Struthio camelus: one gene and its partners. The protein of the gene in region 1 interacts with the protein of each later gene in a pairwise test. Links are inferred from orthologs where the notes say so. Each region holds a gene or a part of one and is shown on either strand. Other genes may lie near its edges. The genes, in order: MTUS2, LMO4, NTAQ1 and NDOR1.

Region 1 (7,842 bases):
TGACACCGGGTCTTGTCCCGCTTGTGCCGGGCCCCGCATGCGGTGGCTCCAGCCCTCCCCACTGAAGTGCGGGGACCGTGGTGCAGCTCTGCCCACCCTCCTTCCTGCAGGTCTGGGCTGTGTCCTCCCTGGGACAGAAACCTCCAAAAAGTCTTCTGGAGCTAGTAGCCTTAACATGACATTACAGCCTAATCAAACTGTGCCGTGTGCGTGGTATTTTTTTTTGTTGACTTGCATTCTTCCCCAGTAATCTAGAAAACTGAACACTGATTTTACCCCTTGCTTATTTCTGCGGAGAAATAAGCCTTGTGCAGCCTTCTGGTGTCACCGCTCTGTCTTTACTGCTCAGTAAACAGAGCCAGGGCCCGCTGTCTGATCCCGAGGCTGAATGGCACAGACTGGCTATATCCGTGTTACGTAGTGCTCAACCCTGGTCTCCCATCTGGAGGCACTGTAGACAATAAGACCTTGTTGTTAATGCGTATGTGTTTTTCTTCTTCTTTTGTTTTTGATTTATTTCTGCTATAAAAAATAAAGAATAGCTGTGCTGCAGCCCACAAGAATGGTGTTTGATGGCATGAAGCGAGGTAGCTCTTGCAGGCACTGGGGCGGGCAGGAGGGAAGCTAGAGTCTGCGAAGCACTGGGAAGGTGTCTTGGTGCTTATTTCAGCACATGGGACGAAACCTGGGTGCAGAGCCAGGGCAGAGTCCACCGTGCCTCTCGTCCTGCCCTTCTGATGGGGAGGGGTGACTTAGGGGGCCCTCGGTGCCTTCGCCGCTGGCACAGGGCTACGCAGAGGGCACTCATATCATGTCGTGGCGATGGTATGTGGTTGCCCAGTCCCACTTTCAAGCTGCACACACACAGGCAGACCGTCCCCGCTCTGGCTGCGGGATCCTCACTGGGGTGTATTCCCTTGGCTCCTCACTCGGTTATATTTCCAGGTCTATGTGTGAGGCTATTCTGCCACCTCTCTGTAGCTGTAGGAGCTTATGTTAAAACGCATCAACAAAGTGGTTTAGGTTTGAAACTGTGCTTAAAATTGCTCTGCCTTCATTTATAAAAGTCATCTCCTGCTTCAGTTTCTCATCATTTTTTTGTTTTCTTTCTAGTGTAACCAGCATCGTCATATCTTCTTTGGAGGAGTCACATATGAAATATTTCACTATACACATGTATAGGTTACATATCTATTCACTCTCTTCCATATGTTTAAGAAAAACAAGCTTATATGAATTATCTACAGCAATTTCACCTCTGCACAGGATCTAAAAATAAAAGCAGAGGCCACATTCTACAGCTAAGTAGATTTTAATTAGGTGTGATAATAGCATGAATTGCCTTTTAGAGCACAACAGCTCAGCGATCAGAAGTCAACTGCTCTGAGTGATAATTGACTGCTAAAATGTTCTATTAAGGGAAGAAACTCAATGCAGGGCATGCATTTGTTTTTCATATAACAATGAATGGTCTTGGCAGTTTGATTAACATTTTGGGTCAATCTGGGCTTCCTCAGCTATTGTGATATAGCCTCAGCTCTTTTGGTATAGCCAGTGGGTCCTTTCAAGTACTAATGTAACAGGAGGACAGTGAAAGTCTTCCTCGGTAAGCCCCCATCATCACCAATTACACAGTAATGCCTTTGGAGATGACAAGTGGGATTGGGGCTTCCTGAAGATCAGTGACTGAAGTGCCGGGTAGGTGCAGGGGTCACTTCTGTAACAGGCAGCATGAGTGCGTCTGGTCCCAACAGAGGGGAGCACGCATGCCAAGGGAGCTGCAAGGGGGCCACGCAGCTGGGCTGGAGCGAGCGTTCCCTTTCTGCTACGAAAGCAGGGAGGGTATGTTATGAATAGTGAGATTTCTCCAGAGCCAGATGCTTTTCAGTGATTACATCTTTATTAGGTACAGCCACTGATGAAGAAAACAAACTCCATCGACTCACCATAGATGATATTTCAGGCAGTCTGAAGAACTGGAGTACACTGCTGGAGGAACCAAACCCTCATTACCTAGTTAGCTCTCAGGTGAAAAACGCAGGGATTGCCCTCACCTCACTTTAGGGAAATGGATACTTCTGAGCTAATTTCAGTGCCTACGCTGGGGAGAAAAGATTTACACCCTAGACGTGCCCGTTTCCCTGCACTGACCAGAGAGGGAGCGCGCAGTGCTTAGCCTAGATGCGGTTCATTTTCTGAGACCTCCCCCCACTATTTTGGCCATAGATAAATTCAGGGTTTTAACATGAATAATATTCTGAGGTGAAGGCTTGTCTTCTGTTCTGCCTGCCCCGGTGGAGGCTGGGAGCCTCCCGCAGAGCTGACAGCAGAGGGTTTAATGCCATAAACCACCACAGCTAAACCTGCCAGTGCCTGTCTCGTCAGAGTCCTCGTTTATGCCAGCCGTGGGGACGTTCTCAGTGAGTTTACCAACTAAGATGCTTTATCTTCGCTGTCTTTTTAACTCATGCATATCATTTAGTCACCGGAGGGAGGGGAGAATACAGCTTTTTTTCAGCAGGGAAGACAAACCTTAAGGAAAGGTCCTTTAAGGATAAGAGACTCTCCCTTATCATGCCACATGGATGGTACTTGGCACTTCAGACTGTAGGCAGATGCAAGCACAGTGTGTTCGAGCACCAATCCATAGGCAGAAATAAGGAAGCTATTGTGCCCATAGGAAATGCGGATATATCCTGTGACACTGACTGTGCTGTGCTATGAGACCCCTAACAACAGCCTCATCAGATGGGCACTGTGTATGGGAATTTTTTGCAGGATGATACACCAAAAAGCAAGGGCCAATATGCCAGGTCGGAGGCAGACCGTGACCACTGCTGCCCAGGTCTCACCAGGGTGCCAGAAACATGCTGCCTTGTGCTTCCTCATGGGAGGTCATGGGCTCCTTGCTGTTCTCTGGCCCCCCCCACCCCAGTCTCTGCAGGGCACCAGTGCCGCTCGCAGACGGGAGGGTATCATGTGGCATCGGCGGACTGCCTCATGTACTGGGAACCAGTCCACTGCTTCCTTCTGAACAGGCCTTTGTGGATTTGCCCAGAGGACTTTGTAAAAATTAATTGAGTTGCCCAGCATTAGATACAGATCATAAAACTCCCATCTGATCTAATGCCTGCTGCTGATCTTAACAGCTGATTGAAACAATGAGCACAGGAATATAATAAAAGTCACACAGATGGCTATAATGCAGGCTATATATTTATATAAGGTTTTAAACTTAAAACTAAGATACTCTGCCTCACAAAGCTTAGTCCCCTAATGGGAGTAAAAACCCTGGGGATAGGTTTAAGCATAGCAAAAGTGAGGGAGATTATTATTTGAGTTATAAGTTTTGCAGAAGAGCAGATTTGTTCCTCTATCTATTTATTTATTTAATTCCTGTTCATTTGAAAGTGAAAGAGAAACAAACTTGCAGAAGGAGAGAAGAACTGGAGAGCAGCCAGACAAGGAACAGAAAGCTTTGCCATGAGTAAATCTCATCTCTGCCTGATGCCATTTGAAACACCATTACAACTTCCCTGGCAGACTCTGACATGAACCTATATTCTAAACTCTAGGAAACGAAAGCATATGGAGCCCCGTTTTACCTAGAAAGCTTGGAAGGCTAAGAACTAACGTCCCTGTTAAATAATCCTCCATAAACCACCTATTTGTTTGCAGAATGTTAATTTACACACGTGATTATGGTAATTATCAAGAAAATGGTCAAAGAGATACAAACAGAAATGTCTTATAAATGCATTCGTTTTTAAATGTTCACTAAGTATTATATGTATACGTATTATTTAAATTAATCTGTATCTTGGTGTGTGTGTCTCATGTTACAGGTTCCTTTGGGGGAATGATGCTCTATTTCTGCTTTGTACAGCACAAAGCATCCCATTCTGCTTAAATAAATACTACAGAATCACACAGAATCACAAAACAGTTGAGGTTGGAAGGGACCTCTGGAGATCATCTAGTCCAACCTCCCTGCTCCAGCAGGCTCCTCTAGAGCGTATTGCCCAGGATCACATCCAGACGGGTTTTGAATATCTCCAGCGAAGGAGACTCCACTACCTCTCTGGGCAACCTGCGCCAGCGCTCTGTCACCCTCACAGGAAAGAAGTTTTTCCTCATGTTCAGATGGAACTGCCTGTGGTTCAGTTTCTGCCCGTTGCCTCTTGTCCTGTCTCTGGGCACCTCGGAGAAGAGCCTGGCTGCATCCTCTCGACATCCCCCCCTTTAGATACTTGTACACATTAATTAGATCCCCCCCTAAGTCTTCTCTTCTCCAGGTTGGAAAGTCCCAGCTCTCTCAGCCTTTCCTCATAAGAGAGCTGCTCCGTTTCCTTCATCATCTGAGCAGCCCTTGGCTGCACTCGCTCTGGCAGCTCTGTGCTCCTCTGCGTGCTTGCACGCCTCGTCTGGTGTGCCGTTAGCCCACCCAGTCAAGCATGCCTTCAGGGATTCATCTGCTCGTGCGGACAGAGTGGCAGCGTGCGCACATGACATGTTTTTCCCTGTCAGGTGCTCACCTCGGCTCTCCCGTGGTCACCGTTTCACTCAGTCTCCTAGTGTTGCGGCTTTCCTAAATTTCTAAGCACTTTACGGAAGCAGGAAAAAACAAACCAAAGCAAAGCAATGTCTGAGAAGCGGAGTTTTCCCGCAGCGTCGCCCTCGGCGGAGGGCATGCGGCGCCGGAGCCGAGGGCCGGGGGGGTGCCCGAGCGACCACCCCCGGGGGCGGCCGCGCAGGCCCCGCCGCCGCGCAGCTCCCGCGCGGTCCGGCAGGGGGCGCTGCGGCTCGGCCCGCGGCGGCGGGAGGTGGGCGCGGGCGGCGGCGGGCGCTGCGCGGCGGCTGCGCCCCGCGCCGCTATATAACACCCGCCCGCAGCCCCGCGCTGCTGCCGCTGCCGCCGTTGCGCAGCGCGGGCGTCTGCTGCAGCCTTTGTCCGCGGACGGACGCGGGAGGAGGGAGCAGCAGCAGCAGCAGCAGCAGCAGCAGCGGCGCGGAGCCGAGCCAGGTGAGCGCCGTGCACCGCCGTCCCCCGTGCAGCCGCAGCGCCCCGCTCCGCTGCCCTGCCGTCCGGGGTGCCCCGCGCCTCCAGCCCGCAGCGCCCGGAGCTCTTCTTCCTCCTCGCCCTGCGCGGGCGGGGCGCTGACCCCGGTTTGGGGTTGCTGTCCCCTCGGGAAAGCCCTGCCGCAGCCCGGGGCGCTGCTGCGGCCCGGCCCCGGGCGGTGCTGGGGGGAGCCGGGCACAGGCGCGGCCCCGGGGGTCGCTCCGGTATGCGGGCGTCTGTGCCCGGTGCTGCCTTCTGCGTGGGAAGCACCGCGCAGGGAAATTGGCGGAAAGTACTTTGAAACGCAGGCTGCTCTGGCTGCACCGCTTGGAAATGCTAATGCTGAAAGCAAGGAAGGTTTGTGGGCTGCTGGTCGTTGCTACCGGTGGTGAGGGCATGTGTTGAGATGGTAAAATAATAGTGTGAAACCTACTTATTAAAATGCTCTCATATATATATTATCAAATCTATTTGGCCAAAAGTTCTGAGGAAAGTAATAAGTGGAATGGCTGGTGTAGGCATTGCTCTCTGTGCAGCATCAGGTAGAGACTGGTAAGGAGCTGGGTGCTGGAGTGGGCTGGGGACCTCTGGCTTGGGCTGTGCACTCTCCAGTTGATGAAAGTGGAGAGCTCAGTGCAAGTATTGAGTTTACAGCACTCAGCTGGCCTAGAGTGCTAAAACTGCAGTTAAACTCTGCCCCTTTCATGGAGTTAAATAGCACTTCATTGTTCTTTCTTAAGAATGATGAAAGATAACAAAGCAGCTACTGTAAATTATGAACTGGCATATAACTTCAGTAGGAAAGGAAAGAACAAACCCATGGAAGATAGGACAGTGGGCACAGGTCTCCCTACTCAGATAAAACACCCCTGCTTGAAAAGCTGTTCATCTAGATTGGTAGTTTCCAACCCTTTTTAGGTGGATCTCAGAGCCTTTAATACTTTCCTGCCTCTTGATCTCTCCTACTTTTGCTTCTGCTTCTTCCTCCTTCCCTGGTTGATGTCTCCTCCTGGAGGCAGCAACAGCATGGGGGTGCTCTGTGCCTGCCCCCTCCAGGTCAGCATGTGTTCCCAAAGGGCACCTGGGTTGGGCAGCCAGCAATTCTGGATCACTCCAAACATGAAAAGGGCAAGCCAGCAAGACCCTTGCCATTTATTACTGTATTAAAAACTTTGAAGAACAAAAAAAATTCTCAGCAAGCCAAGCATTAGAAATACTTACTGATACTAAAGTAGCAGTAGCAAATAATTAAATGTCAAGTGTTGGCATACAGGTTATTAGTTTGCAATGGATGACTGCATTAGAGATGTACTTGGCAGCCAACTGAACTGGTTATAACATAATGCATAAATGCCTTGTTTTCATTTGTAATATCATATGGAAATTGTTTTATGCTCTTTTCACTATGTAGTGTTTATGGGTTTTATTTTCTCACCCCCAACTTGAAGCAGGGGTGTGGCTTTTCTGTATCTCCTCCTGCATAAGCTTTACTAGACTGTCCTTTTGCATTGCAATTAAATATACCTCACTACTTGTCTCCTTCCATCTCTGCAGTCTGGTAAGGAGAGCAGTACAGTCTGTGGTGCAGGAGAGTGGTAGCACTAAGCTATGTGCATGAAGACAGGGCTTCATTTCTCACTTTTTTGCTTTATCTTGTGACCCTACAGAATCAATGTGCAAAAGCTGGTTCTGTAAGTGATTCTTTGAATGATCCATTCTCAGAGTTTGGAAGTCTCTACCTGAGACCAGGAGGGTGAGAAAGGATTTGCAAGGCTTGAGCTCATGTGGTTTGTATGAAGTAGTTTTTGACATGCTATCACTTATTTTCTGTATATTCATCTCTTCAGGGACAGAAGTAGAGATTTGGTGACTAATCTAGATTTATTTCAGATGTTGAAAATGACAGATGTAGGTTTGGGTCAGATACAAAGCTAGCTTACCTTTACAACAAGGCTTCTAATATAGCAAAGTTTTTTTTTGTAGGATGTTATCTATTGTATTAGTGATTGTAATACACATGAAGATAGCTTAAGCCTCTTGGCCTAAATATATCTGAAGTATATTTCTATACAAAACACATCTATAGTATGGTAAGCAGTACTTGATATTTAGCAGTATAGTGGAGAGAGGAGAGCTTGCAACACTTCTGCTGTATTTAACCTGACACAGAAGTGCAATTCTCCAGGTTCTGTAAAGCACAACAGCACATCATAGGCTGTACAGGAGATACACTACTCAGTGAGTAGTAGTCTTCTGGCATTTTAAAAGTTTAGAAGCCAAAAATTTGGATTTTTTATTGTACATTTATTAATTTGTAAGTTAATGGAGGTTACATCAGAAATCATCACAGGACAGAATTGCAAGGTCTGAAATGTTGACTCTAACAAAATGGTAGATGAAATGAAGAAAAGCACAATAGAGAATGAGGAAAAAACTAATTTAAACAGCTCATACAGTGGTTGTTTTTACATTTGATAGAAAATTCTGGAGGTGGAAAGATCCAAGCATTATAATGGACATCTGAATAAAGATATTTGCTTGAAAACTCAGCAACAGTACGGAGGGAGGGGAAATGGACCCTGAGTTGGAGTCTACAAAGACGATTAGGGGACTGGAGCATCTCTCCTATGAAGAAAGGCTGAGAGAGCTGGGCCTGTTCAGCCTGGAGAAGACTGAGGGGGGATCTGATCAATGTGCACAAGTATCTGAAGGGGGGGGGGTGTCAAGAGGATGGGGCCAGTCTCTTCTCCGTGGTGCAACAGGACAAGAGGCAACGGGCAGAA
Region 2 (7,487 bases), on another chromosome or scaffold:
ATTAAATATGCATATTCTAGTAGCCTCTAGAGACTTTTAATTTAAAACATAAATTATATGTAATTTCAAACTCTGCTATCTCTGACTTTAGTCACAGAACTCACTTTTGGGACTGTCTGCTACACATGGCTAACGGTAATATATCAATGCTTCCAATAGACGTTTTAGCTATATGAGGTCATTACAAATATAGCTTTAGCTCTTCCTTAAGTAGACCCCATTGTTAATATAAATATGTATCTGTAATTATTGACATTTATATGATTTGGCCCCTGTACTAAATTATTGATACAGTGATGATAAAAGGGCCTTACCAACTCTTACCTAAATAAACTGTCCTTCCTAACTACCTTCCATGGAACTGGATTCTTGTAAATAATGTTACTCATGTGTTTACTAGCAAGTCAAAATTTATACATATTTTTCTAAAAGTGAGTTATCTTGCTGTTTGGGGTGAAAAGTACTGTCTGCTGTTTGAAAAAGAATGCTGAGAGTCAAGCCATGCAGAATTCTTCACAACTTGCAGGGGATGTGCACTTTCCCATATCATTAGATAGCCCACTTGAATACTTAGTCACATTTGTAATTTGTTTAAGATCCTAAAACAGAAGATCTTATGCTAGCAAAAGGGTGTGTTATTTTAAAATAACAAGTGGCTGTTGATTTTTCATCACTGCTTCCAAAGAGACTAGAGGGTTTGCGTTAAAAGTTGAAATGGTTGTTCAAAAGGTAGAGTTTGGAAGACACAGACTAGCAAAGTGCAACATGGAAGCTCTCCCAACACAGTGGCAGCCTCAACATTTCTAACGAGAAAAGGAAAAGACAGTTGAGATCCCATAGGAATGCAGTATTTGGGGAGAGAACTAAGACTCCTTTCACGAATGGAGAGAGAACCCCAGTGAATTCTGGACTATCAGCTATCTTAGTGGCATGTGGAGGTTTAAGAACGATTTGGATCACAAGCTGAAACGTTTTCCAGACCTTCAGATTGCAACTTTCTACTAAGCCAGCAATTTTATGCTTTCCTCTCCCTGACTCCAACAGTACCACAATATAAGCAGCCAGATTTTCTTCTGCATTGTGTTTTTTATCCATTCAGCCAAAATTAACAGTCTTTGAGGATGAAGTATGCCAAGTGAATTTGAATCTTGCGGACTAAAATACACCTAAAGTTGATGGATACATTCGTGCCTACTGCTGAAATCTACCAATTACTCAGAACTACGTTAACTTACCATAGAAACATCTCATCTAATAGCACAGATGATGTTGAACTAACTAATTACATTATGGCACATAGACAATGAAAAACATAACGAAGATGACAGCACAGCAACAGCAGATGCTGCACAAAAGAAAAATTAGAAAAATATTGCTCTGCAAAATGCTCTCAGTTAAGGTTCCCTCTGTTAAAATTAATCACAAAAATTAGTGAAGATTAGATTTCAGAAAAAGATATGAACATTATAATGGTATTTGGAAAATGTCATTAAGCCATTTAAAACTCTGCTCCTTCAGAAGAGGTAATTCCCATTTTTCTTATCACTATCAGTTGCAAGACTAGTAAACATTGTAGTGCCTATGGCGCAGTTTCTTGGTAGAGTATCTCTTCCAATAAGAAGAGCTCCTGAAGGTTCTTCCAGAGCCTGAATTTGGTAGCTTCCAGCCATTATAGCCTTAAATAATTAGACAGCTTAGACTTTGTTTTAGCTTGGCGTTTGCTCTATTCTTGTGCTCTTAGCTGTCAGAGAGCTAGAATAACAGTGATAGTTGATTATCCGTAGCACGTCTTGTTACTTTATATATTTTAAATTGTAACAGATCCTAAATGACAAATCTGAAACTGCTGAATATGTTTAAATGTAATATGTATCTGGAGATTACATCCAGATGACATATTGCATAGACATATGATAAAAAAAAATGCACCACTTACTTTTAACCACAGTGCTGGTCCTCTTCCCCCTTCCCTCGTGGAAGCTTGCCATGCGCTCCCTGTCTACTTTATGTATAGATTCTTCAGATAGCCCTGTCTATGGAGAAAGAAATGGTGTATTCCCCTATATTTAAATCATACCTATAGTGCTACTCAAATTTTAATATTTTATTGGATATATAATAAAAACAGAGTACATCTATGATGTCCTACGTTTTCCCAGGTACATTTTTCCCAGCTGGACATATTTTAAATAAATTTTATCTGGTTACTGGGCACTCTTCTCCTCAGTCCCCTGCAGGCCAGGGATGCAGAAATAAAGGAGACCCACAGGTGGCGCTGTGGTTAAAGTACACCTGGATTTTGATTACAGAGACAAGATTTAGTAGTCGGGCTGTCAGAGGGAAGTTGGTCTGCTTCTTAGTACAAACGCATATATTTGTAAATAAATTTCCCTGGCTAGAATTTCAGATACTTGTGCCGGCACATCGCTTCTACACTAGACTGTAAGAGGAGCAGGTTTAAAATATTTTGTTGCCTTCAGCAATCGAGAGGCAGCGCACCCACACAAACTCGTAATTTAGTGACGCTGCAGCCATAAAACGGGTAGTTGACAACAGCAGTTAACTGCACCAGGCGAGCCGTGCAGCGACCCGTCCCCATTTAGGATGACCCTGTCCCGTCGGGCACGGCCGCGTTAGTCCCTGGGAACACGCTGCAGCCGCCTGCCCCCTCCTGCAGTCACAGTGAAGTCCGACTGTTCTCCCTGCGTTGGCTGCTCCTTACGTCAGCGGTCTGGAATCAAGAAACTAACATCACCAAGTTTTGTGTTGTTTAACGGATCCTGGAAATGTGTAATTTAACTGACTCTTTAGCTGCAGTTAGCTCTGCGAGACCCGCTGGCGCGTGCTGCGCGGCGGAGGCAGGCCTGCGCGCGGTAGCAGGCCGTGCCCGGCGGGGGCCCGTCCTTGCAGCGGTCCGGTCCGGCCCAGCCCGGCGGCCTGCAGGACCTGGCGAGCACCGGCCAACCGCCCTCTCGTTGCAGATACTTCCATTGTTTCCAGCGGGCTAGGGGTTGTTACAGGGTGCTGGGTTTTGCTTATCGTGTGGGCTCTGCTTAGGCCTCAGAAACGTGCGAGTAATATATATATATATCTACATGTTTTTCCACTGTGTCACTACCGAGTATTACTTCTGGTTTGCTATCACGCTTTGGCTTCTTTTCCAGAAATGCAGTTGTCTTTCCGAATGACAAGCAGCGCTGCCAACTGCCAGCCAATTGCAGCGGTTTAACCCTTTTAAATCTTTTATAGGGTACTAATAATAGCGGGGTATATACTGACACTCATTTTTAAGCACAACTCCCCGCTGGTTTCAGCGAGTGGATTTTCAAACGTCAGCGGCTTGACCAGGCCCATTTTACCCGAAACACGAGCTGGACGCTCCCCTCCCTCCCTCCCTCCCTCCCGGCCGGCCGCCTGCCCGTCTCCGAGGCCGGGGCCCGGGCGCGGGCCTGCGCGGGGGCGCGCCTCCGCCACCGGCTCCAGCGGCCACCGCCACCTCCGCCGCCGCCCGGGAGCCGGCCGAGGCACGGGCAGCCGCCACGGCCCCTCGCCTGCAAGTTTCTCAAGTGGTGGCCGGGAGCGGGTCGGGCGGCGGCGAGCGGCGCCCTAACGGCCGCCCAGCAGCGCCCTAACGGCCGCCCAACGGCCGCGGGCGCCGCTCCCCACAGCCCGCCCGGGCGGCGGCGGCGGCCACCGCTTCCCACCTGACTCCCTCCTTCCTCTCCATTCCCCTCCTCCTCTGCCCCCTCCTCCCCACCCTCCGCTCTTTTTTTTTTTCCTCCTCTTTCAGTCATTCCTTTGTCTTCCCCGGGATTGGCAGGTTTTATTATTCCGCCTGAACAAGCCGGGGGCGGATTGGCTGCGGCGGGCTGACGCTGGGAGCCGAGCTGGAGTGTAGTTGGGATTCTGCTCTGTCAGTAACACATGTGTGAGGGGCAGCGGGCAGAGCGAGCGCGGGGCGGCGCGGCGCGCAGGCCCGCACGGACACACTCGCGCACTCACACACACACACACACACACACGCTCACTCACTCACGCACGCACGCACGCACGCGCGCACCGCGGCCTCCTCCTGAGTCCTGCCAGCGCCGCCGCCGCCACAGGATCGCCGGCAGCAGCAGCTCCCGCCCGGCCCCTCTCAAACTCGCCGCTCGCCCTCTCCTCCGGGGCGCGTCGGCGGGCCGCGGCCGGCCGGTTCCTCGCTGCGGGAGGCTCGGGAGCCGCCGGCGCCCAGAGGAGGGGGCGGAGGTGGTGGGGGGGGCGGGGGGGAGGCGATACAAAGTGAAGCCACATTGCCAAACTTACCCGGCGATTGCAGCAGCGAGCGGCGGCGGCGCCCTGCGTGTGCAGCTCGGCGGCGGGGACTGAGCTCTGCAGCTCCCCTCCGGGAAGTGCGAGCTGGAGGAAGGACCCAGGCAGACGCCGCTCGTAGCAGTATCTATATTTTTCCAGCCTGGGCTGCCACTTGCCGGGCTGGGGGCCCCCTCCAGCGCTCCCGGAGCCCGCTGAGAGCGCGAGCGGCGGGTTTGTCTCGTGGCACGGAAACCTCCTGGGTGACCCCGAGCGGCGTTGCTCCCCGGCCTTTTGCAATATAGAGGGGAAGCAGGTAAGGAGTGCTGGCGATTACTGGCGGTATTATCGCAGCGTGCGCGGCCCCGTCCCGCGCTGCGCGGAGCGGCGCGGCGCGGCGTTGCGCGGGGGGAGCCGCGGGCATTGTCGCCGGCCCCGCGTACAAAGCCTGGCGGCGGCTCGGGCTGCTGCCCCTGTCCGCAGCCGCGGAGGGGAGCGGGCTCTGCCGGCCGCGGTTGTGCGCGGAGGGGAAGGGGCGGGGGGAGCGCCGGGCGCCCGCTTCGCCCGTAGTAAACACTGTGCTGAAACAGTGGCAGAAAAGATCAAAGTGAGCTCTCTATTTCTCCCCTCTCCCGTTCCCTTCCTGCCCCCCGCACGGTCTTTTGTTTCAATCCAGGAGAAATCCGGTGAATCACCTAATTAAAACCAAGACGTGAATTAAGCATCCATTTTTGTACTACAAATTGCCAGCTCTCCGCTTGTCCCTCCCTTGGTCTCCATTAAAAAAGCACCAGAGACGCTGTTAAAAGGGGGGGTTATTTTGCCTCTAGCTTCGAGCTCTGCTTTCTATTTCACCGACTCCTATCCCAGGACCTAAATTGCTTGGCTGTGTAATTACTAGAGTAAGCCTATTTAAGTTAAAAGCTTTTTTCCCCCCAACTCTAAATGAAACTTGATGAGGGCCCGTCCTTAGTTATCAAGGGAGTCACTTTCTGGTCAGTCCTCTTGATTCATCTTTTTAGATTTAATCAGCATTAAGGTATTGCTTGTCCTTAAGAGCTTTAGCTTAATGGGGTTACGGGATGGTTTTCTCGGTGTAACGTTTCCCATTTTATATATATTTGCCTTCGACAAAGACGGGGTGATGTGGTAGCATGGAGTCTTTTTCTTTCTTTTAAGAAATCCGGAGTGATTTAAAGCGTAGGGAAACGGTTTAAAGACTCAGAGCAGGAAATGCAGATTCATTTAGGCTGTAGCTGGAAACTGTAACAAAAGGCAATTCCTTGAACAAATGCATCAGAAATCAATTTACATAAAGGTATATGATGCGTTCGGATAAATGCAATGCTAATGGCTTTTAGAGTGGTTTTCTTTCCAAAGTCTCGGGGTTTTTGTTACAGCTTAATTGGTGCAGTTCTGCTGGTTTATTGTGCGGTCACTGGACGTACCTTCAGGAACTCTTTCTGAGGAAATGTGTGTTTAAAATCGGCCTGAGTTCTCGCTCTGCTGGAGCCGAGTTGGGCCGGTGGCAGGAAAGTTCGCCTCGCTGCTCCGGAGGTATCAGCCCGAGCGTCCTCCGCAGCCAGCCGGATGCCTCGGTATGAGCACACACGGCTTACAAAGGACAAAGACAAAACATGCTGCTTAATTGGCAGTAAATAACTTGATCTTTTTATAGTATAAGTGACTGGAGGAACACCAGGAGTTTATTGGACTCTGGATTGAAGGCAACAAATTAATCGGTTTAGAGTAAGCTTTATGAATTGATTCCTATATTATCTCCGAGTTGTCCTGCTTGCATCAAGCATTTATTAGAAAGTGAAAAATGCCCTTACTAGCAGTTTTGGAGGCAGCCAGACTAACTGCAGCCTGAGCGGTGCACTTCATTATCCTGCTGCTTTCCTATGGTCACTAAACTTTTTTTTTTTTTGAGTAACAAAGCTTTAGCGTTTAAATTGCTGATCAAGGGCAGATTAGCGAGACAAAAGTTGAGTATGTTTGTATAGGAAGTTAACAGGCGTCCTAAAGTTCAATGATCTGTTATTCGGGCCAGCGTCCTCGGTCTGGAGTGTTTTCTCTGGGTGTTTTCTGTATCTCAAAAAAAAAAAAAAAAAACCCCAAAACCCCAAACCTCGACGTCTGGACAGCCGGTTCCGAGCCCCTCGTTACCCCGCCTGGAGAGTCTCTCCTAGACTGAAAAACCAGTTTCACAACTTTTTTTTTTTCTTTCCCCCCCCCGCCCCTCACATACTTTTTTTTTTTTTTTTTCTCTGAGCAAAACAAAACCCGGGACTGTTCCTAACTCGCCGAGTGCAGCTGCGGAGGCAGCAGCGCGGAGCGGGGCCGCGCCGCCCCGCGAGGTGCCGAGGCGCGGCGCCCCCCGCCCCGCCGCCGCCGGCCGCCGCCGCCCTGACCCGCCTCCCTCCCGCGCCTCTCCCGCAGGCCATGGTGAACCCCGGCGGCAGCTCGCAGCCGCCCCCGGTGACGGCGGGCTCCCTCTCGTGGAAGAGGTGCGCCGGCTGCGGGGGGAAGATCGCCGACCGCTTCCTGCTCTACGCCATGGACAGCTACTGGCACAGCCGCTGCCTCAAGTGCTCCTGCTGCCAGGCCCAGCTCGGGGACATCGGCACGTCCTGCTACACCAAGAGCGGCATGATCCTCTGCAGAAACGACTACATCAGGTGAGCGCGGGCGGGGGGGGGGGGGCGTCCGGGCAGGCAGCCGGGCAAAGCTTCCCCCCCCCCCCCCCGCCTCGTGGCTTCCGTGGAGGCAGGAGGCAGCCGGGCCAGTGGCGGCGGCGCGGGGCAGCAGCGTGCCCGGGTCCGGGTCGGCCCTGCCCGGGCAGCGGGGGCCGCGCCAGCCCGGGGAGCCCCGTTCGCTCCTCGCCCCGGGCGCAGTTGTGGCTGCCAAGCGGAGGGAAGGAGGGGGGGCAGGCGGAACGACGACTGTAACTTTAAAGTGGTTTGTCAGCACAAAACAAGTCCTAACTAAAAATAAACAGCAATCAGAGAGGCTAAATTAATCTGCTTTGTTGTAGTGTTGAAGGAGAAGCGTGCATATCTGAACGGTAAATGTTAAAATCGTAGGGCTTAAATAAGGCTGTGGCAGAGGTGCTACATAATGAAATGCCTGCCTTTAGTATCTGATTAATTATGATATTTACATAAGCACCTTTAAACTCCTTTGAGTGGAAACAG
Region 3 (7,664 bases), on another chromosome or scaffold:
TAGAGTGTAATAAAAATGAGCTTGAAGCTGTGAAAATTCTGCAAGCTATTAAAACATCAAAGGAAAAATAGCTTTCAAGCTATACATTTAAATGGGAAATTAACATTTTGCAGCGGCCTCTCCTGACTCTCCTATCTCCTATTTCATCATAGGTCTGCTTCATAACATTTCGGGCCTCTTTTTAAACTAAACCTTTTTTTGCTTTATAAGTATACCAACGTCTTGGGAGTCTGCTAAACCATTTGAAGAGTAATTCATTCTCTCCCAAGTACTTTGTCACTTTTTCCCAAACAAATCCTTCCCATTCTTGTGTGATAAGTGTCACATCTCTAAAAGTGTTGGGATCTGTAGCATAAATTCCAACTTAATCTTCATTTCCTGAAACACAGAAATCACCACACCAAACTAGAAGAATGTTTTTTCAGTACTGGGTAACTGAAAGAACTCTGTAATGATCCACATTTAAAAGGAATTCTATAATGGCAATTACTAAACTACTGAATTACTGTTCATTGCAAATGACGTTCTAAAGCCAGCACTTGCAGTAAATTTACATGCAGACTCCTGAAGACATGTATTGCTTGTCTTTTTCTATGCTATGTCAAGCGTATGTAGATATTTTCATTCATCTACGTCTTAAAAGAATATACATCTATTTCTTAAAATTCTACAAAGTTGGTGGCTTCAGAAGTATATACACAGTAATTTTCACAGATTTGTTATGCATTCTTACCAATGTTTGCCATGCGTCAATTTTACTGACTGCTTCATTGTTACTGCACTACAGGCAGTGAAAGAGAGAGCCAGACTTACAATGTTTACGTATCCGTTGTAGAAGAAGAATAAATACTAGTATTGTGTTGTTAATATAGAACTGCAGTTTGTTAAAGATATGGCTAACACTGCCCATGTCTGATTTTGCAGACGCCAATTAGGGAAGCATATATTAACAAAACCCTAAAAAGAACACAAAAAGCACAAAATACTTTACCCAGACGACAGGATCATCTCCACGTCCCGATTTTTGCTTCCATAGGGGAATCTGAAAGTCATAAAATACTTTGACTGAAGATTAACACAAGTAGTAGTTTGCCAGCGAACCCATTTCATTAGCTTACATCTGTCCTGCAACGAGAAAAAACTTGCCCAGTGTCGCTCTTTTAGCGGCACTAAGCTGCAGATAGTGTTCTGGACCACGTAACGTACTCATTCTCCTAAACCAGGAGGTTACAGGGAAGATGCATTGCATTTTGGGTTGCCCCAAAACGCATCGGATAGCCATGGGATCGATCGCCTGTGCGGCGGCCTGCAGGTCCCGCACGGGGGGGACACCGCACAGGGGGACCCCGGGGCCTTTCTGGCTGCAGGGCCGAGGCCGGAGCTGCTCCACGGCTGCCTTTAACCACGACGCGCCGACTCACCATCCTCCTGTCATTGGATATGAAGACAGCGTAAAACTCTTCCAGAGGGTATTGATCCCGACTCCTGATGTAGTCGCACAGCTTCCAAACGTTTTCTTCGCTGTAAAAGACAAGGGTTGGTTTGGGGGTTTTGTTTTGTTTGTCCCCTCTCCTGCTCGCAGTCTCGTTTCTAGTAAGGAGCGCTAAGCCAAGCACTGATGTCTGCCGAAAGCCTCCCGGCTCGGGCTCGGGTCTCCCGCCTGCCTGCAGCGCGGCCCGCGGCCCCGACGGCGCCCCCCGCCTCCCTTCCTCCGTGATGCTACGCAAAACCTCCAAGCTGGTTTTGCTTCTTCTTCTTCTTCTTTTTTTTTTTTTTAAACAAAAGGCCGAGCCCGGGGCTGCCGCTCGGCTCTGCGGCGCGGGGAGCACCGCGGCGGCGGCCGCCCCCCCTTACCAGTAGCAGCTGGTGTAGGCGCAGGCGGGCCGGGGGGGCACCGCCGCCTCATAAGCGGCCGCCGGCCGCGCCATGGGCGGCCTTAGCCGGCCGCAGCGGTGCTCTGGCGGGGCGGCGGCGCAGCATGGCCGGCGGCACGGCGCGGCTCAGGAAGTGCTGGCGGCAGCGGCGGCGGGGGAGTTACCGGCTATGGCTTCCGCGAGGAAACGCGGCTGCTCGGCAGCGAGGGGGCGGCCGGCCGGCCCGCGCCGGTAGGGAAAGCGCCCTACCGCCGCCATCTTAGCGCCCCCCCGCAGGGCGCTTCCCGCCGAGCCGGGAATAACGGGCGTAACATGGCGGGCAGGCCCCCGGGAGCGGTAAAAGCGAGTGTCAGGCGAGAGCAAGAGGGGATTTTTATCGTCCTGGGGGCTGGCAGGGAGCACAGACAGGGTCGCGGCTGCCTGAACTCACCAGATAAACGTTAATGCTGGATGCAGGTGCTTGGTGTGGCCTTCTGTCCCCTTTTTGGCTGCAAGTGGAAAGGGGTTTTTGAACAACAGGCTGACCTTGGAGGCTGGTGGGTGGCAGTCTGGCCTACCGAGGAGCTCCTCGTGCTTTTCTGTCCTGTGCCAGGGGTATGTGGATGTTTTCATCCCTCTGCTCCTTGCAAATACAAAGCTCTTGCGTCCAAGGCAAGTAGAAAAACTGAGAAACACTCAGGGGTTGCTTAAAGTGGGGCAAAATGGGTCAGCCTTTCATGAAACGTTCATGTGACAGCTTTGGGGGAGTGCTGGAAACAGGTAACGCTTAGAAATGGGGAGAGCCAAAAAGGCAGAAGCAAGGGAGCTTGCTGGCATCACTGCCTCTGCCTGCATGGACTGACTGTGTAAGTACTGCTAACGCCTTTGACCCAGCGAAGGGAATTTTCCTGTGCCCAAATGCATAGCGGCCCTCTCTCTGCTGTTTTGTGCTTTGGATCTTGCCTAAGCACAGGTGATTCCTGCAAAACATCTGTTCTGCAAAATACAAGTTGACGTTAATAGGAGGGCTCCTACAGGGAGGAGGGAAAGTGAGAGAAGTAACTTGCTGTTTGCAGGGTAACAAAGCAAGCGCACCTCCCCAGTGCGTTTTGAGTCTTCAGGTTACTTGATCCATTTCTGTTTTCTGCTGTTTCAGGTGCAGCTTCTGTACAGTGCATGTTTTTCAGGCACGCTCGGACCACCTCGAGCTTCTGCAACGTCTTTTTGTGCCGGTGAATGGCCTGAACATACACTGCTTTTTGCTCTATTAGACCCTGTGCACTGCCGAATGTCAGCTTTTGTTCTCTGCTTACAAAACACTTCTGTGCAGATAAGCCTAGGGTGATTCACCCAGTAGGTGAAGATAATGCTGTCTCCAGGGAAGGTGCCGGAAAGCTTGAGGTTTTGAGGTTTGATTCGTATTTTGTTAGCATTTTTTTTCTTTTCCAAACATGATGCTCCTGAAAAGCTGTCTTCGTGTGATAATCTCTCATTCTGATGAAAAAACTCTGGTGTAGAAGGTTTTAATAACTGGAAGTCAGTTATCATCTCTGTACCAACCAATTAGAAAGCAAACGTGCATGCATTTTAAAGCAAATATGTGGAAGAAAACACTTCTTTACTGTGGGGGTGGTCAAACACTGGGGTGTGTTGCCCAGAGAGATTGCGGGGTCTCCATCTTTGGAGACGGTCAGAAGCTGACTGGACGCAGCCCTGGGTGACCTGCGCTAGGTGACCCTGCTTGAGCAGGGGGCTGGACTGCAGACTCCAGAGGTGCTCTGCAACCTCAGCTGTTCTGTGCATTTTGGTATTGAATGATTGCCTTAAGCCTTTACTGTTGTTTTTTTTTTTTCCTTTAGTAGGAGGAGGAAAACAAAATGGGGGCGTTTTCCCTGTTAAATACAACTTCAGCATTGACAGTTTGGAGTAACACTGGCTTTGGATATGTGGTAGGCCATGTAGCGCTGCCCTGCCCTACTAGGGTCCCAAAGAGTTAGGGACCGGAGTTTCCTAAACTAGGAACCTGCAGTCATCCTACGGCTTTTCCAGGGAGATCTTTGAGCGTGTCGGAACAGAAAACCCGAGGTCGGGCCAGGGGCGCTGCAGCCGTCCGCCCTGCGCGCCTGAGGTGCGGGCGCCTTTAAGAGACTGCGCTGAGAGAGCCGGCCTTCCCCGCCCCCGCCCGGCGGGAAGCAGCGGCGGCGGGGGGGGGCGGGCCCCGCGCGCGCCTCCCAGCCAATCGGGCTCCGGCAAAACAACCTGCTTCGACTTTCACGCGCCAAAAATATCAAAAGGCCGCGGCGCGAGCTGTGCCCCTCCGCCATCGGGGCCGGGACTAGCTGCCGGAGAGAAAAGAGGCCGCGGGGAAGGCGGGGCGGAGCGCTCTCCGCCGGGCCAGGCCGGGCTAGGCGGGGGCGGGCAGGGCAGGGGGGCGGTGACGGCGGGGAGCCGCGCTCGCCGGCGGTGCGGCACAGCGGCAGGGAAGGGCAGGGGGGACGCGGCGGAGGGATCCGAGGGGAGGGCGGCGATCGCGGCGGCGCGCGGGCTGTGGCGCCAGAATTCGGAGCGGCGCCGCGCGACCCCAGGGCCGCCTCGCGCCGCGCCCGGCCCGGCCCGGCCCGGCCCGCCATGGTGGTCCTGCGGAGCAGCGGCGCTCAGCGGCCCGGCCCCGCGGCGCGCGACGGCGGCGGCCGCCGCCGCCGCCGCCCGCCCTTCGACCTCATGGACTCCAGCTCCGAGTTCCTCTCCCTGGAGTCTCCCCCGCTCGGCGGCCGCCGCGCCTGGACGCGCTCGGGGGCCGCCCAAGGACCCAAGGGCGCCGGGGGGGCGGCGAGAGCGGCGGAGGAGGTGAGGGCGTGGGCGGAGGGGGGGGGCAGGGCTGGCCGCTGGGGAGGCCTCGGGCTTGGAGCGGGGGCCGCCCCGGTGGAGGTGGCCGTTGGCTGGGCTGAGGCAGCCGCGCGAGCGGGTCCCGGGGCAGGGCCGGGCCGGGGAGGGCGTTGTGCTCGGCAGGCTTTGAACCCGCGGGCGCCATTGAGGCAAAGGGGGCAGTCAAGGCCCCGCCGCTTGCCCGAGTGTGGCCAGGTGGTGCTGTGCGCTCGGCTCTGCGGTGTAGGCCGCAAAGAACACGTCTGCGAGCCTGGGACTGCCTCCTGTGCGTCCCTCCAGAGGTAACCGAGCTTGTCATCCATCCCTCTCTATCGGTGGTAGAAGTAGAGCTCTTCCACTGTGTAGGCAGTATAGAAGCACCGGAGATAGGGGTCTCGTGAACGGGGGAGGGGGGAGGAGGGGAAGAGTACTTAAGGTAAGGTCGTATAACGATTGAGTTGCTGTATATGAAAAAGTTACTCCGTGTCTGCAAAGCCACAATAAGAACTGCTTTTTGCAGCTTCCGAATGCAAAATGTATCAGTTTCGGTCTCTAAAATTGATTTATTTTTGCTTTGAAAGGAGGGGAACTTGATGCAACCCACCGCTGGCCTGGGATACTAGTGATAGCTTGCTAAAAGACAGTAATTTGGTTGCCTGCAGCTGTGTGAACAGGTGTTTTTGCATCCCCTTAGAATTTGGTATGGTGCCTTTATTTCCTATTCCTAGGTTATTTCGATTAAATTTGTTACCTAAAAAATCATCTTGGAAAGAGCTTGGAAATGTTTTTACTTCAAGATCATCGAGGTGAAGTTTATAGGGAGGGTGCTTATTGTTTGGATGGCATACGTGCATCAAATATAATGTTTGACACAAAATATATTTTATTTGTAACTGCACTCGAGCTGAATATCTGAAGTGCCTGTGAGATATGCTCCAATGAAATATATATAGTTACCGCTTTGGATGCTTTTAAAACAAAGCTGTGTTTAAGAATCAGGGTTACTTTGTACTTAATTAAAGTGCTTATTTGCGTAACCTAAAATAGTGAAAATTCTGCTTATTTTTGTTAATAACCTAGGGCAAGATGCTAGGAGAAGAAGTCTCAACGTGCACCATTTTAAACCAGATTAAGTACTCCGTGCTGTCTGCATCTCAGTGTTGCTACTATTCATAAGTGAACAATTTCACTTTGAGAAGTTTATTGCTTTTTAATGTAGCTTTCAAAAGCTGCGAATCTTCCCTGGTCTTTCCAAGTCAGGCTGTTCTCAGTGGGGTATTCCTCATTTCCATGGCAACTAAGGGCAGACCAGGTCTAAGTCAAAACTTTGGTCTGATCTTCAGGGCAGCCCTGCCTTGAAGTGATGCTTGTTGTGCACTCTGTTTCCTTATAGCAGAACTATTCCAGGATTTGTGGTTGGTTTTTTTTTTTGTTTTTTTTTTTTTTTAACGTTTGCTGAGCTAGGAAGGAAGAAATCCTTGGGGTGCTTTTTTCTTTAAGCAGATTCCATATCTGCTTACAAAGATTGCTACTTTGTTTTTGCGGTGTATGCTAAAAATGGTTGTCAAAGACAAGGAATTCTGTTGCAGGTGGGGGAAGGCTACACAGGCAAAGAAAGCAGCTGGCACACGTTTTCAGTACCTGGAGAACAGGAATGAGGAAGTTAAATGTAAACTTTTTACTAAAACCAAAGCAGAATGATTACTGATCATTGCAATTGGTTGTAAGATTTTTCCTTCTTTCCTTTTTTCCCTCCTCTTTTTCATAGACCTTTCCTATGTTTCAAGTTATGGAATCCTTTTTGCTTCCTTTGTAGGTCAGTGAGGCTTTGCTGGAGCGTTCTAATTGCAGAGACAATGTAGGGTTGCCCTAGATGACAAAGATGATGATCCTGGTCTTGGCTGCGTGCTCAAAAGTCTTAATTTATCTTCCTTACTTGTTGATGTGCAAGGACTTGCTGGCAGCAGCTCTTGCAGGTTTTCTGATACCAGGGAGCTATTCAGGTTATTTCACCCGTATGGAGTATGCAGCGTATGGTAGAAAGACTGTTAAACTGAACAAGAATCTGATGGGTTATATTCTCTCCTGTTTCCGGTCCCAAGGAAGATAACAGGTGGCAGTTGTCCCTTTGGAAGCTGTGTATCTACAGGTTTTAACCCTGGTGTAATTACCCGGGCTGAACAATGTTGTACGGTGACCTGTACTTGAGGCCTGTGTGCTCGAGTTCCCTTTTGCCTGAACAAAGCAAAACTTGCACTTGGGCAGGCTGAGTCTTCCTTGACCCCTCTCTGTAGAGACTTCAGCACTAGAGTTCACAGCCTTGTAGCCTAAGCATATTTACGTGATGGCGCTTTGACGTGTAGTTTACTTCCTTAGAGATATGAGATAGCTGCATGCAGTTTTTGTAAGAAGTCTTTTAAAAAGCAATTGTTAATCACTTCATGTGGCACGAGGAAAGTAACAACTACTTTCAAAGTTAGAAATACTTTTCAAAATCCCTTTTTTCAGTTTCCTTATGTTTTAGATTTAGCCTTATTCTTCTATTTGATCTCACTTTTTGAGTGCTCCCCTCCTCTGCCCCCCACCCCCACCCCAGCCTGATCTGGCTGATAAGAGCCTGTTACTATTGCTCTGCTGACAGCCTGCTGGAGTTACTCTGGTGTTCTTGGTGTTTACAACCTCATTGAAATGGGATGCCATCCATATGAATGGAAGACAGTCAGAGTTAGCAATATCCACTGTTTCTGCTTTGGCTGTATCCTTTTAATTTGAGTCAAGATGAAGACAGCACAGAAGATAAATATAACAAGTAATTGTATTGTGGACAGAGACTTAATTTAAAAAAAAAAAAATAACAACACACAGAAAGTCATTATACTGCTTTATCTAACCTGTATGGTGACGTCTTCCGAGTGTTCATTCTTCCTTTTAACTGGGCTTTGGCCC
Region 4 (7,237 bases), on another chromosome or scaffold:
GGGCACAGAGGGAAAAGTGACTCCTTTGCACAAGGAGTGAGTCCTGGGAGAGGGGCAGGGCTGGGTCCATGCTGCAAGGCAAACCTTGCCACCCCTGGCCACGCACACAGCCCTCACATCCCTGTTGAGTACAGCACCCCACGTGCCACAGCTTGGGACTGTGCCTCCCTTGTGTCCCCCAGACACACCTGGGAGCTTGCCTTACCTTGGAAAAGCAGAGCTGGGAAATGTTGGCTCCTGGTTGTCCCCAAAGATAGCCACAAATTGCCGGAGGAGCTGCCGGAAAGCTCGGCAGCTGGCAGCCTGAAGCTGAATGCAGGTAGATGTTGCATTGGCCCCCTCTGTCCTGGTGAGCAGTGGCATCCAGCCAGCCCTGGGCACCACACCCCTGTGACATGGCTGTTTGTAAGGTTAGGTCTCTGTTCCTGCTCTGACAGTCCCTGGCAAGCCAAGCCATGGCTCAGCAGCAGGAAACTGCCCCTGTTCCTCTGCAAAGCATTGCACCAAGGCTGAAAGATGAGTGTTGGAATTTTTGAGGGGAGGAGGTTGCCCCATCTTTGATTTAATTAGCTGAGTGCCTGGAGAGCTTTGGGAGAGTCCAATAGTAGTCCCTAAAGCAGCTCTGCTACTGCCACATCCTGAGTCAGAGGCTCTACTGCTTCTCCTGCTCCCTGCTGTTCACCTCAACCTTCACCTATCATACGATCCCTCCTCTGGTGCTCTGATTTTTTGTGCCCTTCAGCAGACACTGGCAATCCCATCAGATCATCCCAGCCTTGCTCCCCTACAACCCCCTATTGCAGACAGGCCTTACCCCCCAGCTATCTCCCTCCCCAGGCTCACACGAGCAGCTCTGCAGCTGCTGGTGATGCAATATCTGCAGCTTGTACACTCAGAATGACTTGTCACATCATGGGCACAGCTGCAGCACAGGGACACCAACAGCAGGGATGAAGTCACAGTGGCCTGAGGTGGAAGAGGATAAGGAGTAGCCAGCTGCCCTCCTTCCAAATGATGTGTCCTTGGTTTGCTTTAGCTAGACCCAAGTGAGCAAGATGCTGGCTCCCAGCAGACAGAGCGGACAAGTGTATGGGGACATTATGGCAGCACCTGGATGGTGCTGAAGCCTGGAAAACCACATAACAAAGTGAAGCAGGAGCTGAGGAGCTTCTGCGAGGCCAGGTCCTACCTAACGCTTGGGTCCCAGCGCCACCTAAGGGTGCACCAGGACGGAGAAAAATGGGTGATCCTATGCTGTGCTTTCAGCCTCAGACCCTGATGCCAGGCCAGGATAGGCCATCTAGAGTCACTGGGCCAAAGCTGGAGCCAGATGTGACCCGAACGGAGGTGAAGCTTTGCTTAGATTCAGTATCCATCAGACTATCTCCAATGGCTGCAGCAGAAAAGTAAACGATATGCATTACTGGATTATGACGACAAATTATGTGGAATTATGCTCTTTGTTGCTATTTGCTTTCCTGTGCCACACCACCTCTTAGGCTGCATGCTTGGATCTGCTCACAAAGACTAAGAACAGGACTTTTTACTCCAGCTCCAAATCAAGAGCAGCCCCTTGGGAAGGTGTTATTTGTCACTTAACTTTTCCTCTAAGTTCTTTTCTGTGCAAAAATTCTCTTGCTCAACATGCTGTGAAAAGGAGACTGACCTGTAAGTCAGACCACAGATTTCCCCAAGCCTCAGCAAGCTTTGAAGCCTGCAGTTCATGCCATTTAACAACACAGCAACGTTTCTAGCACTCCTTGTGCAGGGGTCATGAGGCAGTTTGTAACACAGCTCTTTTCCCCAGGACTCTAGGATTTTTATTATTACTATTTTTTTTTTTATTTTTAGAAAAGCATCAGACCTCTCACCGTGGATAGCTTTTTCAAGAGAGAACCTGTTAAGGGAATATCCAGTGAGATCTGCTCTGAACTCACAGCCACAAGTTTATAAAATCAGTACACTGGAAAAATAAACTTGGAAAATTGGTCCTTTCTTACCCGCATGCTTCCAAAATGCTAAAAGCAAATACAAGTTACACAAGAGGCTAGGTAACTACAGATTTTCTAGATTTCAGGTATGAAGCCAGAGAAAATCTGCTTTATGCAATTTGAAAAGCACCTGACTTTGTTAGATTACAATATAGTCCCGCACTGTGGCAATTCTCAACTTTTTCTTAATGCATGCTCTGCTGGTTACATCCCACCTCATCTCCTGAACTTGAGTGGTGTATGCAGCAGTTCTCCATTTCAAGATCCTATCTCCATGAAATGTAAACCTGAGAGCAGCAGAGAACACATGATGATACCAGTAGCTAGGTAGATGGGGCAAAGACAGGGGTGGGTCACAGAGCACTGCTGAGGTTGGAAAGGAAGCCCATGACTGCTGGGAGGTGTTTTCCGATAGTCGTCATCATTATAGTACAGAGGTCTCTAAAATCCATTGTCAAAAGGAGAACAGTCCTCTGGACCTGGGCACCAAAGTAACGTTCAATGTCTCATAGATAGGTAAGAGACAGATCTATAGCCCTGAATATCCTCACGGTCGGAGCTAAATGATACTAAAGTGTCTTTTGCAATGGGGGTTCGTTGTGAACCTAACAATAACTTGCTGATCTCTATTTCCCCTAGAAAGACTAAACTACCCCCATTTACGGTGGGTCATTTCTAGATATTTGAGGACAGTGTTTCACACAAAAGCTGTGATTCAGTGAGAGCCCACCTTCAGAAGCAGCTCTTCATGCTCCTGCTCTTATACTTTGCCCTCCCAACACCTTTATATTTTGGGAATAGATCTGAAATACAAAGAAAAAAATATATACTTCTGTTCCAAAATAGACATCAGTGCCCTCTGGCTCACAGTACAACCGCACAGAAAATCTTGCTGGCAATGTGAAGGCATGAAGTATTGCTCAGGGAAATGAGAGGAAAAAACGGGAATACATTACACTAGGATTGTCGCTGAAGAAAACACGTTGTTAAAACCATGGCCTCAGACTGGTCAGGGCAAGCAAGATAACAGCTTCATTGTTTAAGGCTAGTAGCCATTTGAGTTTTACAAGGATATCTACAACAACTAACCTCCAAATAATTCTTATTCTCCAGGCAGCAGTTTCAACTACATATACTTTCCAGGGAAAAAGAGTTGTATAAATAAAACTACACTATCTGTACATTTTTATTTTAAATTAACTGGCATATCAAACAGTGCTTGCATATCAGGATATATTAACATTAACATCAAGAGCTGAGTGAACCTGAAATCAATGGCGCTGTATAAAAAAGATCTTTTGAAGAAATGCTGAGCTATACAACATAATAACGTAATCTGGTTGATTACAAACTCTCTTCTCATAACACCAGACCTGCATAACCTAACAACCAATATCACTCTGTACAAAAACAAAAAAAGGGCAAAAGCCCAACTTAGCAAACTTGGAGCTCAGGGCTCCCTGGTGGCTCAGGCAAAGCTCTATCCAGGGTAAGAGGCAGTCATTTGGGAGCCTTTCCCTCGGTATCAGTTCACCCGGCAGGCTCGGATCATGAGCAGCTGGAGGAGGATGAAGACGGGTGACATGATGAGCCCATACCAGAGCTCCCGGGTGTGCTCCACCAGCTTCTGACACAGGAGCATCTCAAAAACAAACTTCAGGCTCAGGATGGTGAGGATCCAGAAGAGGCGCAGCACGGCCAGGCGCTTCTCTCCGTCCTGGAAGAGCCGCACGGAGACAATGGTGGTGAAGTAAGTGCTGAGGCCGTCGGCGGCGAAGAAGGGGATGAACACAGTCCACCAGGAGAGCATCGAGCCTTCGCTGTCCACCTTCAGGACGAGAAGCACGGAGAAGACCAGGAGAGCCAGGAGGTGCAGGAAGATCTCGAAGGTGGCAAAGCCCAGCCATTGCACCAGCTCACGCAGGGAAAACAGCATCTTCCCGGGGGCCCGGCCTGGCCCACCGCCACCGCGGGCACACGGGCCCTGCCGGGGGGACAGCGTCAGCCCGTCATGCCGTCAGCACCCCGCAGCCCGGGCCCGGCCCTGCAACCCCGGCCCGGCCCGGCCTCCGACCCACCCCGCCGCCCCCGGCGCGGTCCCGGCCCAGCCCCGGCCCCTGACCCAGCCCCCGGCCTTAGGTCCCCGAGCCGGCCCTCCAGGCCCCGCCGCCGCCGCCGCGCACCCGCACCCGCGCCCGCGCCGCCCATCAGCCGCCGCCCCGCCGGCAGGTCGCGCCAGCCCCGGCGGCGGCTGATGACGTCGGCGGAAGCGGAGGCGGCGATGCCGGGCGCACGGTGGGTGCCGCGGCCCCGGGGCCGGGCCGGGCCGAGCCGAGCCGGGCCGGGCCGGGCCGGGCCGAGCCGAGCCGAGCCGAGCCGAGCCGGGCCGGGCGCCCCGCCCCGTCCCGTCCCGTCCCGTCCCGGAGCCGCCTGGCCGGGTGGTGCGGTGCTTTGGGAGTCGCTGCTGGGGCCCCGCCGGGCCTTCCCCGGTCCTCGCTGTCCCTCCCCGGCAACCACCGCCTCTCCGCTCGCAGGGATCGGCACCGGGGTGCCCCCCCCCGGGGCGCCCCTTCCCTCGGTGCCCCCCCCCGGGGCGCCCCCTCTTCCCTCGGTGCCCCCCTTCCTTCGGTGCCCCTTCCCCGGGGCGCCCCCTTCTTCCCTCAGTTCCCCCCCCCGGGGCGCCCCCCCTTCCCTCGGTGCCCCCCCTCCCTGGGGCGTCTCCCCCTTCCCTCAGTTCCCCCCCCCGGGGCGCCCCCCCTTCCCTCGGTGCCCCCCCTCCCTGGGGCGTCTCCCCCTTCCCTCGGTGCCCCCCTGAGGTTTTCCCTCCCCTAGGGTGTTCCCCCCTCCCACAGGTGCCCCTTCTCCAGCCCCCTTGGCCCTCAGGAGCCCCCAGGCTGGGTGAGCGGTGGCCGATGCTGCCCACCGAAGACCCCGGGGCTCCCCAGACCGGGGCGGTCACCCTGTGGCAGAGGTCCCCCATGCAGGGTGGCCTCCCTCCCCCCAGGGCTGGGAGCTGGCTCGGGCCCCTGCGGGCGCTGCTTGTTGGCGGTAGGGTCTGCCTCCCGCTGCGAAGGGCAGCGCCCCGAGGGACCCTGAAGCTGGGGTGATGGGGGACCTGCCTCTCCTCAGTGGGCGGTTGTGGCAGAGACGTGCACAGGGAAAAGCAGTTCTGTTCCTGGAGCTGAGCGAGCAGTGTGCATGTCCAGAAGGGCACATAGGATGTGCCAGCTCTTCTGGAAAAATCCATTCGGCTCTGGGCAAGGGGAAGGTCCCTTGGAGCTGCAGCCCCTCTGCAGGAATTGGTCCGTAGAAAGGCCAGTAGTGTCCCCTCCTTAGTTTTTATCAGCAGCTTTTCTGGAAGTGGTACACATTCCCCGTAGGGGTGCGGTAAATTTGCGGCTCTGGCATCCTGCTGGGTTGAATTTCCTCTGTGCTGTGATTTCCAGTAATACCTAGGCCCCTTGTTGCTGGGTGAGAGCAGCACAGGAGGCGTCTTCTCCTGCAGTTGAGAGCACCGTGTCTAGTCAAACTGAGCTCCCAGGCTCTGCTCCTGCCTGCCTCCCCTCCTCGGCTGTCAGGTCTCATGGCATTAGGGGAAACAGATGTGTTAAAATGGGAAACCTGAAGACTGATTCCAAGGATGTACTGACCGCAGGTGGGGAGGCCAGCTAAAATGAGCTAGAATGTGAAACACTGTCCTTGGATTTTATACCCCCAACTCATCCCCCTCCCTTTGCCCTGGCAGCAAGGACAAGGACTGTCCAAGTACTGTCACTCCTGCTCCTACAGACAAGGATGCTGGGTGAAGAGGGTGTCACCTACTCAGTGCTCTCTGAGGATGGAAAGAGAGCCCAGGAGGCTTGAATCCTGACCTTTTCATTGAACTATTAGACTATCTCCGTCCTTGCTGTTTGCCAAAGTATGCAGTGTCTTTCCCCCAAAGTACACTTGATTAAAAAGCTACCAGAACTCCTTTGAAGCCTGGGTAGGTTTCAGGGTGACTGCTAGCCCAGAGCAGAGAGAAGTCCAGCGTTACCTTCCCTTACCTTGCCTTAAGTCCCCTCTTGATGATTTCTTTGGTACTTTCTCTTTCAGATGGCAGAACGGACTCTCCTCGTTCTTTTTGGCAGCCAGACTGGGACAGCTCAGGACACAGCTGAGAGAATTGGCAGAGAAGCCAAACGACGCCACTTTCAGTGCAGAGTGGAGGCACTGGACAGCTATGATGTGGTGAGTGGTGATGCAGAGAGGTGCCCCAGGCAGTTCTAGTCTTGCTCCATCTCTACCAATCCCATTTCTAGGGCTCAGACATCTCCCACCCTTGCTATGACCTCCTATATTTCATAAGATCATGCCTCTCTGTCCTCCCTGAGGGCAGCTTGTGCTTAACTCAGCTGAAAATGTGAAAACTGAGCAGTGACTCTTGGGATACAATCACTGTTAGATGACAGATGCCCAGCCTTATCCAGTGTTTCATCAAGCGCACTTCCTACAAGGCAAGGAGCACCAACGATCTCTTGCTGCAGGCAGTGTGTGTGGGGAGCAGATGACTGTACAGTGTTGTCAGAGGAGGATGTGCCATGCGGGGGCTGTGGGTTTATGCCAAGCGTGGTCTGTCCATGAACTGAATCTAACATGATCAGCTGGGTCTGGCTAGCTAGGGGCATATGTTTGTAGGCTGCTGACCTGAGTGCACCTTTCTATGCTTGTCTGTGCACAGGCGAACCTCATCAATGAGCTGTTGGTGGTATTTGTGTGTGCAACCACGGGCCAGGGCGACCCACCTGACAACATGAAGGTAGGATGCATTCCAGTCTATGTTGCTTTTATGGATCTGGTCCTATGACTGGATTTACTCCTGAGCAGCTTCAGTTATGGATTTCTTGGAGTTGGAGGCTTTGAAACAACACCAGTCATCCTTGCAGGGTAATGTCAGGTGGATGCTGGCTCACTGAGTGGGGCTGAGAAGCATCTCCTGTTGCTGGTGGGATGTGAACAGCAAAGATGGTGAGATTTCAGCAGCTTAACAGCTAAGAGGAGCCCCTGCCTTAGCAAGAGCCTCAGATTTGTGGAGACCTCACAGGGCATCATCTTTCTGGCAGGTAGCACTAGCAGCTAGCTTCAGGGATTGCTTTTGTAGAATAAGGCACTCTAAGGTTACAGCCACTGGCTGAACAGACATACTCAGCAGAGGAAGCTGCCAGGCTGTGCTCCCTGCCCTGTCAGGACTCGGCAGGAGGGACCCT

Evidence for each region.
Region 2: the proteins of MTUS2 (region 1) and LMO4 interact in binary tests that used the Homo sapiens proteins (3 or more experiments, as listed by UniProt). The link is inferred for Struthio camelus from reciprocal best matches to the Homo sapiens genes MTUS2 and LMO4.
Region 3: the proteins of MTUS2 (region 1) and NTAQ1 interact in binary tests that used the Homo sapiens proteins (3 or more experiments, as listed by UniProt). The two-hybrid records come from large-scale screens. The link is inferred for Struthio camelus from reciprocal best matches to the Homo sapiens genes MTUS2 and NTAQ1.
Region 4: the proteins of MTUS2 (region 1) and NDOR1 interact in binary tests that used the Homo sapiens proteins (3 or more experiments, as listed by UniProt). The two-hybrid records come from large-scale screens. The link is inferred for Struthio camelus from reciprocal best matches to the Homo sapiens genes MTUS2 and NDOR1.

What each region holds. Positions count from the first base shown.
Region 1 is NC_090942.1:200,185,752-200,193,593, reverse strand, and holds the start of MTUS2 (microtubule-associated tumor suppressor candidate 2), read left to right. Parts: upstream 1-4,829; 5' UTR 4,830-5,023; intron 5,024-7,842. UniProt on the Homo sapiens protein: Binds microtubules. Together with MAPRE1 may target the microtubule depolymerase KIF2C to the plus-end of microtubules. May regulate the dynamics of microtubules at their growing distal tip.
Region 2 is NC_090949.1:20,631,982-20,639,468, reverse strand, and holds the start of LMO4 (LIM domain transcription factor LMO4), read left to right. Parts: upstream 1-4,472; 5' UTR 4,473-4,606; exon of another isoform or gene 4,607-4,780; intron 4,781-6,732; 5' UTR 6,733-6,735; coding exon 6,736-6,971; intron 6,972-7,487. UniProt on the Homo sapiens protein: Transcription cofactor. Plays a role in establishing motor neuron identity, in concert with MNX1, acting, at least in part, to disrupt LDB1-LHX3 complexes thereby negatively modulating interneuron genes in motor neurons.
Region 3 is NC_090943.1:160,183,838-160,191,501, reverse strand, and holds the start of NTAQ1 (protein N-terminal glutamine amidohydrolase), read right to left. Parts: upstream 3,017-7,664; 5' UTR 2,487-3,016; coding exon 2,305-2,486; intron 2,189-2,304; exon of another isoform or gene 1,929-2,188; coding exon of another isoform or gene 1,855-1,928; intron 1,522-1,854; coding exon 1,422-1,521; intron 1,043-1,421; coding exon 992-1,042; intron 1-991. Other genes in the region: ATAD2 (ATPase family AAA domain-containing protein 2), read left to right, coding at 4,482-4,700. UniProt on the Homo sapiens protein: Mediates the side-chain deamidation of N-terminal glutamine residues to glutamate, an important step in N-end rule pathway of protein degradation.
Region 4 is NC_090961.1:12,913,799-12,921,035, reverse strand, and holds the start of NDOR1 (NADPH-dependent diflavin oxidoreductase 1), read left to right. Parts: upstream 1-4,229; 5' UTR 4,230-4,286; intron 4,287-5,437; exon of another isoform or gene 5,438-5,646; intron 5,647-6,086; coding exon 6,087-6,221; intron 6,222-6,711; coding exon 6,712-6,789; intron 6,790-7,237. Other genes in the region: TMEM203 (transmembrane protein 203), read right to left, coding at 3,517-3,927. UniProt on the Homo sapiens protein: NADPH-dependent reductase which is a central component of the cytosolic iron-sulfur (Fe-S) protein assembly (CIA) machinery.